3 linked regions of the Mus musculus genome follow. The protein of the gene in region 2 purifies or fractionates together with the protein of the main gene of each other region. This does not show direct contact. Links are inferred from orthologs where the notes say so. Each region holds a gene or a part of one and is shown on either strand. Other genes may lie near its edges. The genes, in order: Grk2, Git1 and Nck1.

What was found.
Region 1: the proteins of Git1 (region 2) and Grk2 purify together in Homo sapiens (affinity purification with western blotting; 4 studies listed by BioGRID and IntAct, with this or other methods). This does not show direct contact. The link is inferred for Mus musculus from reciprocal best matches to the Homo sapiens genes GIT1 and GRK2.
Region 3: the proteins of Git1 (region 2) and Nck1 purify together in Homo sapiens (affinity purification with mass spectrometry; 4 studies listed by BioGRID and IntAct, with this or other methods). This does not show direct contact. The link is inferred for Mus musculus from reciprocal best matches to the Homo sapiens genes GIT1 and NCK1.

Annotation. Positions count from the first base shown.
Region 1 is NC_000085.6:4,303,389-4,307,481, forward strand, and holds the start of Grk2 (beta-adrenergic receptor kinase 1), read right to left. Parts: upstream 2,835-4,093; 5' UTR 2,627-2,834; coding exon 2,514-2,626; intron 1,806-2,513; exon of another isoform or gene 1,734-1,805; intron 1-1,733. UniProt on the Homo sapiens protein: Specifically phosphorylates the agonist-occupied form of the beta-adrenergic and closely related receptors, probably inducing a desensitization of them. Key regulator of LPAR1 signaling.
Region 2 is NC_000077.6:77,503,359-77,505,934, reverse strand, and holds part of Git1 (ARF GTPase-activating protein GIT1), read right to left. Parts: coding exon 2,507-2,576; intron 2,015-2,506; coding exon 1,917-2,014; intron 1,564-1,916; coding exon 1,452-1,563; intron 1,337-1,451; coding exon 1,203-1,336; intron 1,068-1,202; coding exon 684-1,067; intron 613-683; coding exon 559-612; intron 432-558; coding exon 345-431; intron 256-344; coding exon 182-255; intron 56-181; coding exon 1-55. UniProt on the Homo sapiens protein: GTPase-activating protein for ADP ribosylation factor family members, including ARF1.
Region 3 is NC_000075.6:100,543,306-100,547,750, forward strand, and holds the start of Nck1 (cytoplasmic protein NCK1), read right to left. Parts: upstream 2,830-4,445; 5' UTR 2,800-2,829; coding exon of another isoform or gene 2,152-2,799; intron 1-2,151. Other genes in the region: Gm46139 (synapsin-1-like), read left to right, coding at 2,152-2,799. UniProt on the Homo sapiens protein: Adapter protein which associates with tyrosine-phosphorylated growth factor receptors, such as KDR and PDGFRB, or their cellular substrates. Maintains low levels of EIF2S1 phosphorylation by promoting its dephosphorylation by PP1.

The sequences.
Region 1 (4,093 bases), on a different chromosome or scaffold from region 2:
TGCCCTGCTACTTTCAGGCCACCACCCCAGACCCACAGCTCCCACGACAAGTGGTTTCAGCCATCCCATCCCACAAACCAATTATATGGGAGTGGGGGAAAGAGACAAAGCACTGACAGGAAGAGACTGTGGTTGGGACTCCAAGGACCTGTGACCCAATCCCAGATCTTCTGTGTGACAAGCCTCAAAGCTCGGTTAGTAAATGAAGAAATACCACCTGCTGGGTCAGCCAGCGTCCCAGAGTTGTGAAGACAAGACACTTCACAGATTGGGATATATTGGGCACACATGAGACACGATCACAACTACCTTCAAGGGTGAGAGATACCTGCCTCAATAGTGTGCAGAGCGCGTCACCACGTAGGGAACCTGCCTTCCATCATGAGAGGCTTGCATGCCTAGGGCCACAGCACTGCAGGGTGACTGTCTGAGCATACCAGTGGGCAGAGTTAGAGGCTCCTAACCATTCACAGACTGAGCAGTTGGCCCAACAACATCCTACTGATGGTGACCCTGCACCTGTGGTATCGCTTCCTAAAACTCACAGCCTGCTGCAATTTTGTTCACAGCTATTACCCCATCCTGGTACTGTTGGCCTTGCCAACTTCACATGTTGGTTTTTGGATCAACTGAGATGACAGATGTCAAAATAAATAATGAATTATTAAACTTTCCATTCTTATTCAATCACATCACATCACAACTGCCACCATATGAAAAGGTAAAAAGAAAGAGGTACAGCTCGTTTTTCAGGGTTCTTGAACACCAGCAAGGAGACGACCGGAGGTAGGGTCTATTAGGAGCAATGCATTCTGGGGAAAGATTGTCCAGACACAGAGAGTTCTAGAAAAGGCACCACCTTAAACTTTGCAGACCTCCACCTGCAGAAGAACCCCATGGCTGTGGCCGCCCAGGAGAGCACTACAAGCCCAAGATGCGGACTGCCCCTCCCCCACTCTTCCCTTTAAGTTTTGTCATTTCTGAACTCATTTTCATCCTAACTGCTGCTGCCCCTAGACAGCCCCAGCTGACACTCAGTCTAGTTCCTGTTTTGAGAAATCTGATTGCAAATGTCTTAGAAAAAAGGGGGGCCCAACGGCCTCTTCAAAACACAGACCAATTTTTCCTCTACAGGGCTTGGTTCTCAGTCAAACTGAAACCCAGTGTGCAGCCACTGGAGGAGGGGGCACGGTGACAGGCACAGCAGCAAGCCCGCAACCTGCCCACCTGGCTCTAAGGACAGAGGACACCAGAGGCCTATTTCACACTGCCCACTGGGGGTAGAGCATGTTCTACCACAGAGAATGACAGTAAAATCAAGGCCAACTCTTGGCTGTTAAAGGAGTTGGCATGGGAGGCTACTGGGACTGGCCTCACCACCCACCAGGAGGCATCCTGGTGGGTGGACACATCTCCTCTTCCAGATGCAGGACAGACGTCCAGGCCACCCTTCAGGTCAGGACAAAACATAAAACTCGAAGCTGAGAGCCCTGATGTGGAGGCCAGGTGACACTGCACAAGCCATTCCAGTCTGAGTTGTTTCCCCTCTCACACACACACACCTTGTTCTATGGGAACAAAACTACACCTGTCTCACTCGCTCTCTGGTCTCCTGTGCAGCTCAAATAGGAAGATAAGTCTATTTACCATAATATACTGGACAAGCCCCAGCTACACCTCTCACATCCTGCCCTGTTCTGCACCCACATCCTGGACAGTTTAAACTTTGATACCAGGTGCGATGACATCAGTTGTCTTGTAGAGAGGTGGCAGCATGGTCCATCTGCTGTAGGATGGGAGGTCCCCTGGTCAAAAGTACCCATAAGGAACCACAAGTGGGGAAAAGGGTAAAGTAGGGACTTCCCTCACCCACCGGAGCGCAGCCCTCAGGAATGGTACACTGCACTGTCCCCAGAAAGCACTCTCAAACCCAATCCCATAGTGACCCCACCATAGGGGAAGGCAAAATAAATAAATAAATAAATAAATAAATAAAAGTCTTCAAATTGGTCCTCTTCACTCCACAAACCTCACAAGAGTGTTACCCACTCCACGGGGAGTGGATAGGGTAGTGGAATACCAACGGGAGCAACAGACTGTGTGATACAATCGGGTAAACAGAGGCAGACTTGAGGAAGGGAACCACAAGGGAACACGAGAGGGTAGAGGGCAGAGCCAAGCATCAGGGTGGAAAGAAGGCTGCAGCAGAGTCAGGGGCTGACAGCGACCAGGCCGGGCAGTGAGATACAGGAAGCGGCAGGGCGGCCCAGGGCTAGGAGCTTGGACTTGGGGCGCCCAGGGCTTGCGGACACCAAGCCTTGCGGCGGCAGGGACAGAGGAAGTCTCCGGGTCCTGGGGCGGCCAGAATAATGGGGTCTCCGGGGCAGAAGGTCCCCGGAGTAGAAGGGGTTCCCGGGTCCTGGGGCAGAAGGTCCCCGGAACCTGGGGCGGAGGGGGTCCCTAGGGCACGGGATCCCGGGGCGGCGCGTGGGGCCCGGCACAGGCGGGCTCACCTGGGCTCTGGCAGCAGGATCTTCTTGCTGGCGCGCGCGGCCGGCGTGGCCTTGCTCTTCTCCATGGCCATCAGGTAGCTCACATCGGCCAGCACCGCCTCCAGGTCGGCCATCTTGGCGGCGGCGGCGGCGCTGTTCCTCCCGCCGCCCGAGGCTCCGCTCCGCTCCCGCTCGCTCGGCCCGGCCCGGCCCGCGCGGCTTGTGGGCCTCGGCGCCGCCGCCGCCCCGCCCGGTCCTCGCTCGTCGCCGGCTCACAGGCGGCGCCGCCCCATGGCGCCGGCTCGGGCCCGGCCCGGCTCGCGCTCCGCTCCCGCCGGGACTGCAGTCGGGGCGCCGCCGCCGCCGCCACCACCACCACCACCCGCTCGCCCGCGCCCCGGAGCTGCCGCCGCCGCCTCCGGCCCCGCCTGCCGCGCACAGCGCCAGCGAGCCGCCGAGGGGCCGAGCCGGGCGGGCGGCGGGCGGGCGGGCAGGCGACAGCGCCCCCTAGAGGCTGCACCGCTCGGGTCCGAGACACGGGTCTCAGTCCTGGTTTGTTACCTGAGTCTTCCACCAAGGACTCTAGGATGACCTCAGACCCCAAGCCATGACCACAAACGCGGATCCCATCTCAGCATGCTAGACTGCACGCTCCACTAGGGCCAAGACCGTGGGTCCTAACAAGAATCCTGACACCGACCAAGACTCCTATACTCAAATTTCTGAACATTCTCTCAGAGTCACACCATCATTACCACCCCTGACTCCTGACCTGACCAGATGACAATCCTGACTTCAAACTCCCAACAGGACCCCAGACTCAGAGCTTGGGCCGCACTCCTGACATGAACGTTTGTTGTTGTTCTTGTTTTAGAGAGGGTATCCCCGTGTAGCCTTGGCTAGTCTGTAACTCACTATGTAGACCAGGCAGACCACTAATTCACAGCGATCTGCTTTCCTCTGCCTCCCAAGTGCTGAAATGGATTAAAGGCATAGTCCATTAAACCACACTCTGATGAACGCCGAACTCATTAATTGATCGATCGATTGACTGATCAGTTGATTGATTGTGTATGCACATGTGGAGGTTAGAGGACAGACAATTTGACCATCAGTTCTCTCTTTTTACCACATGGGTCTCTAGGGATGGAACTCAAGGTCCTCAGGCTTGGTGGCAAACATTTTACCCACTGAGCCCTTCTGTGCCTTCTTCCTTGGCCAACTCCTGTCTACTTTACCTGGCTAGCACACGAGAGGCAAAAGCAGGTGTCTTTCTGTAAAGTCAAAGCCAACCAGGGCTATAGAGTGAGACCCCGTCTTAAGCAAATGAGTGAAAGCAATTTAAACTGCACACCTCTCTAGAGCACCTCTTTGCTTTCCAGGCTGCCAGGACACTCCCACCCCAGGCATGGACACTTAGAACCTGATTCTCCTGCCAGTTCGTGTCCAGCAAAGCAAGTATCCCGACTCCCCTGACTTCTTGACTCCTTCAGAAGAAAACAAATCCTATTAGGGGAGAAAGGTTGTCAGCGGACGACATCTCTAGACAGATCCTGCCTCTACTTCTCCTTTCCTAGGTCACCACTACAGCCTCCTGAGAG
Region 2 (2,576 bases):
CTCAGGGTGCAGCTCATCCTCCTTGCTCAGCTCTAGGAATCGCTTCCCTTCAAGCCTAACTCAGGTAGGAGGGGAAAGGAGCCATTCCAGCCACTGACGGCTTCTGCACCTGCATGCTGGGCCCTCACCGCCTCCCCTCCAGGCGCTCACAGGGCTGGGTAGAGACCCCCAGGTATCTCACCCAAGCAGAGGGTCCCCACTCTGTGTGTTCTCATAGTCACTGTCCGCACCACTGCCGTGGCGTGAGAGCTTGCTCTGGAGGGTGGGGAGGGGTGATGGGTGAGCACACACTCCTGGACCTGTGTAGCCCACACACTGCCCCTGGGCCCTGGGATGGAAATTACCGCGTGGCGACTTCCTTCTTGGGAGCACGACAGCAGTGGGGAGGAGGGAGTGAAGGGCACAGAAGAGGCAGACACCCCCTTCCGGATCTGAAAGCCAGGACAGGGCCAGAGTCAGTCTCCACCTGTACTTCAGTGTCTGTCACGCGTAGCTTAACAGCTACTGGGGCTGGTGACTCACGGGTTCAGGGTTCACCCTTCCCCAGGTCCTGCTTACCCGATAAAGGCCGGCAGGGACATGCACTGAGTAGATGGCATCGTCTTCGAGCTCCTGAGGGAGCAGGGCAGTGTCAGAGTTAGTGTGACCCTCATTTCCCCCACCAAGGCCAACAGGCTACTCACCGTGCTGTGGAAAGGCTGGAGCCGGGTGGCGAGCTCGTCCCCAGGTGTACCTCCAAAGGGCTTCAATGCAGAGCCTGGCTCATACATAGAGAAGGCCTGGCGGTCCCTGCGGTGGGTGCTTCCACCAGGCCCCATGAGGGTGTGTTCTGCCCGTTCACTGGGAAGTGAGGGTGGAGGCACTGGTCCGGGTGGCTGCCGAAGCTGCAGGTTCTCTGCCTGCAATTTGTGGATCTCCCTTTGCAGCCGCCGCAGCTCGTCACTCAGGCTGCTGTTGACCTTCATGAGCTGTTGCACCTTGGCCTCGGAGGTAGCCAGAGCCTTCTTCAGCTCCAGGTACTCCTGCAGTGTCACTGCCCCATCTGACAGATCTGAGGAGTCCATGCTCTGTAGGGACAGAAGCCAGTCAGTCTTGGGGACAGAGGCTGACCAAAGCTGGGCTATGTATAACATGGAACTGGGTCTAAAGGCCAGAAGGAACAGAGGAGACTACGGGAGGGAAGAGTAGGGTCAGTGTCAGACCCTGGCACGGTTGTTCCGCGTGGCGCCTGCACTGGGCAAGGGCTCCTGGTCCGTGTCTTCGTCGGAAGCCACGCTGTCGTAGTCGTGCTGGTCATCCAGCTCGCTCTGGCTCCGTGCAGACAGCTCAAGGTTGTCTAAAGACAGAAGACCTGTCACTTGGGCCTGCTCAGCCACACACATCATTTATCAAGATCCCAGGCAAAGGTGACCGCAGGGCCTGCAACAGTGCCTTAGCCTGTGCGCTCCCACCTGTGGGGCTGCTTAGACTCTTGCCCTGCTGCCTCCGTTTGGCCTCACTGAGAATGTCGATGATCAAGGTGGCAAACTCTCGGGCATTGAAACGGGCCAATTTCTGTCGTCCCTACAAGGCGGAAAGGACAAAGCCGGCATGAGGGACCACTTCTGGTTGGCTCAGGGGCAGGAACAGAATAGCAAAGCAGGACGCTGCCATCCCATCCATTCACAGCTAAAACACCCAGCCCAACATCAGCAGGGTGGTAGCCCAGGTCAGCAAAGCCTTAAGGCACCCAAGGGAGCCCTTAGGAGGCTAAAATACCCAGCAGTACTAGAGAATAGCTCCATCCCATTCCTAGTCAGACTCTGAGGGAGGCCTTGGGAGAGCCTGCCTGGGTGCCAGCTTGTCTCTGGCTAAAGAAGGGCAGGGCCCTCAGACTGAAAGGAAACCACCCAGGCCTCCCACCTATCCCTCCTCACCTGATTCCGAGTGGCTGAGTATTCAGGGTTGACTGGCAGGAAGGGCACAGCACTGCGCTCCGTCACCAGGGTGCTATGATTTTGGGTAGCTAGCCACACTGTGGGGGAAGGGCAGGGAGCAGATCACCCATGGTGAATGGGCCCTCAGAGAAGCACTGAGCAGAGCCCCCCAGGCCCTCTATTCTGACTGGGTCAGTGTCACAGGAAGCAGGGTCTCCACGAACACAAAAGCTGGGCCACACCCTGTGAGCCCCGCCCACTGACAACACAACAAGGCAGGGCCCACCAGGCCAGACCCAGAGTTTGGGTTGGAATCTGGCTGTGGCCAGGAAGGAGTGATGCAGGGTAGGGGTGGAGCATGGCTGGGGAGACAGCCAGAATGGGAGGCAGCCAGAGCAACATGAGCTCCAGTGCCTGGTGGGTAGGGAGGCAGCTGGCTCCTACTGCCCAGTGGGGGATGGCAGGGACTCACCCCAGTAGGTCTCAGAGCAGTACCCCGTTCCCCTGGTTCCCTGGGTCCTTGCTCTTTGCAGCAGGTCCCTTACGTCTACTGTGTCCTTGCTCTTTACAGCAGATCTCTTACCACTCACCAGCATCATTTTCTCTCCGATCCACCTCATCATACACATCCATGGCAAGTTCCTCAAAAAGCCGGTTGCT
Region 3 (4,445 bases), on a different chromosome or scaffold from region 2:
GCTCTGTGCGCTAACTTAAAAAGAAAGAGGGCGTGCGAAACAAACAAACAAAGACTCAGTTTAACATAGGTAACAGAAAATCTTGACAACCTTCACTCAAATCACAATTAAATTTCTAGGGACTGGAAAGATGTCTCCAGTTAAATTCAAGTATGGTTCTTGCAAAAGATCCAAGGCTGATTCCCTACAACAGGAGGCTTGTGACCCCCTGTAAGTATCTGACACTTTCTCCTGGCCTCCCTTTTCAGGCACCTGCCTCTTGTGCACATATCATGCCCTCAACATACATACAAGCACACACTTTTTAAAAATGTTTAACAATATGTAAAACAATGTAACTCTGGATGGGTGTCAAGATGCCTCTGTAGTTAAAGGTACCTACAGCCAAGCCTAAAAACCTGAGTTCACTTCATGGGACCTCTGTGGGGGACAGAGAACTGACCCCTCACAAGCTGTCCTGACTCTGGGTGTAGAAAATATAATAACCAATCACTTTTTTAAAAAATAGAACTTTAGACTGATGATACACCTCAAAGGTTTATGAGAAGCCATTGGTCTCACCCCAAAACTGAGGGAAGGCAAAAGAGACAGGAGAGGGAAAGAGAAGAGAGGGCGGGGAAGGGAGGAAGGAAATTAAGGAAGAAGGAAAGCTTAGCGAACTTTTCCTTTGCAAAGTTAGTAGTTTGCAGAGAATGTTTCTGTATTAGGACAGATGGCTCAGTGGTTAAGAGCTCTTGCAGAGGATCTCTGTTCTGTCCCCAGAGTCCACAGCACATGTCGTACAAAACACTACAAAACACATAAAATAAAAATAAACCCTTAAAAGACTGGAATCTAGAGGAAAGATATTACTAGTGTCTAAACAGTGAAAAATATGTTCAAAGTATTATTTTAAGATCAGCACAGGCAGAACACATTTGAGATCCTCCAGGCAGAAAATCCAGTTAGAGTTACTGAGTAGTTCAGAAACTGAAAAACAATATATAAGAATACAAAGGTAAGATTTTTTTTTTAAAGAAAACAACTACAAAAAAACAGTACAATGTTAAGGTTTATGTCTGGGTTCCTGAAAGCATGCTACTAATGTATCGCTAATGAAAGACAGCTTGGAGGCGTGGGGCATCAGTTGTGAAGGGAAGACTTTGAAGTTCTATTTCCTTGATAGGTTAAAGTGAGAATCAGGCAGGCCTGTCAAATTGTCGTCAAACTGTTGGATTTGTTAAATGCTCAGTTCACGTTTCCTCCAATTTTACTTAACAGTGAAATAATCATTTGATTTTCTGGCATTGAAAGCATCCATTCTTCCACATTGCCAGAGTTAATTCATTTTTTTTCAAGTTCTCCTGAGAAGGAATTTATTTACAATAATAATCACAACAAGCCTTGAACTCTAGAACGAAGTTCTCAAATTAGAAAATCAGCAGCATAAACTATCACTCAATGTTTAATAAGGCAATACATTAACGTGTCGACTTATTAATACACGGATCTGTTGGGCTTGGAAACCTAAACAATTTAAAATGCTTGCTGGGGAGGCAAATCTTTTCAAACATAATGCTCATACATACAGCGGAGACATCAACACAATGTACGCTTTAGTTACTCTAGCCAATTCCTACAGAAGTTTTCCCAGAGAAAGCACCACATGTGGCCACGATGAAAAAAAAGTACTAATCAACCAACGCATACGCTTTGACTTAACTATCACGATGTGAAGAGAATATCTATTTAAAAACAAGACTGAAAATGATCAATCAAAACTTTCTCCTTGGACTATTTCTCTGTTCATGTTGTGACGTCGCTAAAGGCTGAAAGCACACAATTGATTTCCAGGTGCTTAAGAAACCGTTAAGGCTGATTGATCATCATCAAGCTACCAAAGCTTTTGAAAATGGAACGCTTCTTGCAAAACTTGACCCGTTTTTTTGGCCGAACCCTGGATTCTCACTGCTCCCCACCCAAGATGGGGTCAGGAAGTTTTCTTCATCTCGTTCTTTCCTAACTCCTGTGAATTCTTTCCTAACTAAGGGCAGTATTTTTCTTCGGGTGACTTCAGCTCGGCTCGACGTTAACCGGTCATGTTACGGTCCTCAACCCTGAACAAAAAACCAGCTTCCTTCCAACCCAGCTGTTAACACTGAACCGACCTAGCACGGAAACCCGTACGACAACAGTACGAAACCAACCCAGAGGACTGCTTTTCCTGGACCAACCCCACCTCAACAGCCCCCGGACACCCACATCTCTCCTGCTCCGGAACGGGAGGGGGAGGGGAGGGCGCGCCCCGAGGATGTCCCCCCTCTCGGCTTCCTCAGGCTGGCGGCTGGAGGTGAGAGCGCCCTTCCTGCCAGCCTACCGTCCCGGCCTCGGACACCGACACAGACCGCCGACAGGGCTTTCTGCGGAGAACCGCCGAGGCAGCGCGCCGCACACTTGCCTGCCCGCCTCCCCGACCGGCGCTCGCAGCTCAGGCCAGAGGCCGCGGGGTCACCGGGCTGCACCGCGGACACCCGAGCTCCGCCGAGCGGCCTCCCCGCCCCCTCCGCTCCGCTCCGCCGCCAGCAGACGGCGCCCCCGGGCCAACTTCGCCGGGGAAAGAGGAAGCGACTAGAGACTAGCAGGCAGAGCGGACCGACCGGGAGACCGAAAGGACTGTGCGTGTGTCCGCACGCGAGCGAGGCCGTCTCACCTTCCCTCCGCCGAGCCCTCGGCTCCAGTCACCTGAGGACCGCACCGGGACGCCACCGCGGCTGCCCGGATGCCGTTACCGCACGAGGCCTGTGCTGCGCCGCCGCGTAGCTCTCGGAGAGGGGCGGGGCGCGCGCAACCGGTGGGCGGACCGTTGCGGGCAGGAAACCCGCTCCACGCCCAATCTAATAGGCTCCATCGCCTCCTGCGCCCGCCCCTGACGCTTCAGCGGAATGCGCCGCTCCGGGATTGGGCGAGCGGGCTTGTCAATCAAGCGCGGGCCCTGAGTGGTCCCTGAGCTGAGACTGCGCGGCCTTTGGACAGAAGGTGAGGAGCGCCGGGCCCCACCGCCCTGTTCTCCCCTAGCCTCCTCGGTGGCTGCTTACTTTCCGCCTCTCCCACTGCTACTAAAACCTGTCATTCATTTTAAATCGCTCATTAATGTCGAACAGCGGTCCCGAGTTCAACCCAGACTACTCTGGTGCCTGCATCTGAAAGGGCCGACCAGCTGCAGATCTTAGGGACAGGGAGCGACAAAGAAAATGAAGCCTCGGGGGAAAAATGTAAGATGTTTGTTAATGAAAACCACAACCAAAATAAGCTTTGCGAGCAACTTCCGAGTGCCCTGGCGCGTGGGTAGCCTTCATTCCCGGCTTCCAGTCCTGTGAAAAGGACAGTTACTTCTGCCCTAGGGGTGAGTATGGCAGTGGCACAGTCCCAGCCACCTGCCAAGGAAGGCATCAATAAATCGGCTCTCCTTCCTAACTTGCCTTACAGCGACTCATAACCTGCCTCACTATTTCCCAATCACCTTTGTTGCTTAGTGTGGGTGTGGCACCTAAAAGAAACATTCTAGGTTAGGTAATTTTATGGAAACACGAGTTTTTGCCTCCAGCGTAGCTGCACCCATATACCTAGATTGCAAAGTCTATTAAAAGAACTGTTTCACCCACGCCCACCTCGTGCCTAGCACATCATCCTCAACAATCGAGGAATTAATACAGCTTCCTTTCATCTTTTAAAAATTCATTTTTATTCTTTGTGTGTTCGAGTGTTTGGTGTACTTGTGTTATACTTGTGTATAATTTTGCTGCCCATGGAGGTCAAATGAGGGTATAGGATCTTCTGGAACTGGAGTTACAGATGGTTTTGAACCACCCTGTGGGTGCTGGGAATCAAACTCAGGCCCCTTGGAAGACCAGCGCTCTTAATCACTGAATCTCAGCCCCTTCCTTTAGCTATACTACAAGCCCTACCTGTAAATCCTAAAAAGTTGTTTTCTGCTTTTAACTTAATTGCATGTTAATAAATACATGGGTGGCCTGCCCTAGGTAAAATACAAGTTACCTGTAGCCCCTTTTAATCCTGAGTTTAGTTGAGAAAAGTAGAACATAAAACTGGGGAAAGGATACTCTGCCTATTGTTAGTATCAAAAGTAAGTAATGCAAATTATATATTTAAAAACATACATACCGAAGAGAAGGGGGTGATGCATGCAGAAGCAGGTGGATCGAGGCCAGCCTGGTCTACAGATTGAGTGTGAGTTCCAGGACAGCCAGGGCTACCCAGAGAAACCCTGTCTCAAAAAACAAAAAGACAAATATATATATATATATATATATATGCAGAGACAGGTTCAAGTTCTGCAAGTTCAAGGCCACCCTGGTTTATGTAGCAAATCCTAGGACAGTCAAGGCTACATAGAGAGATGCTATCTCAAAAGCAAAAACATACAGGCAGCTGACCCCCATTAACTC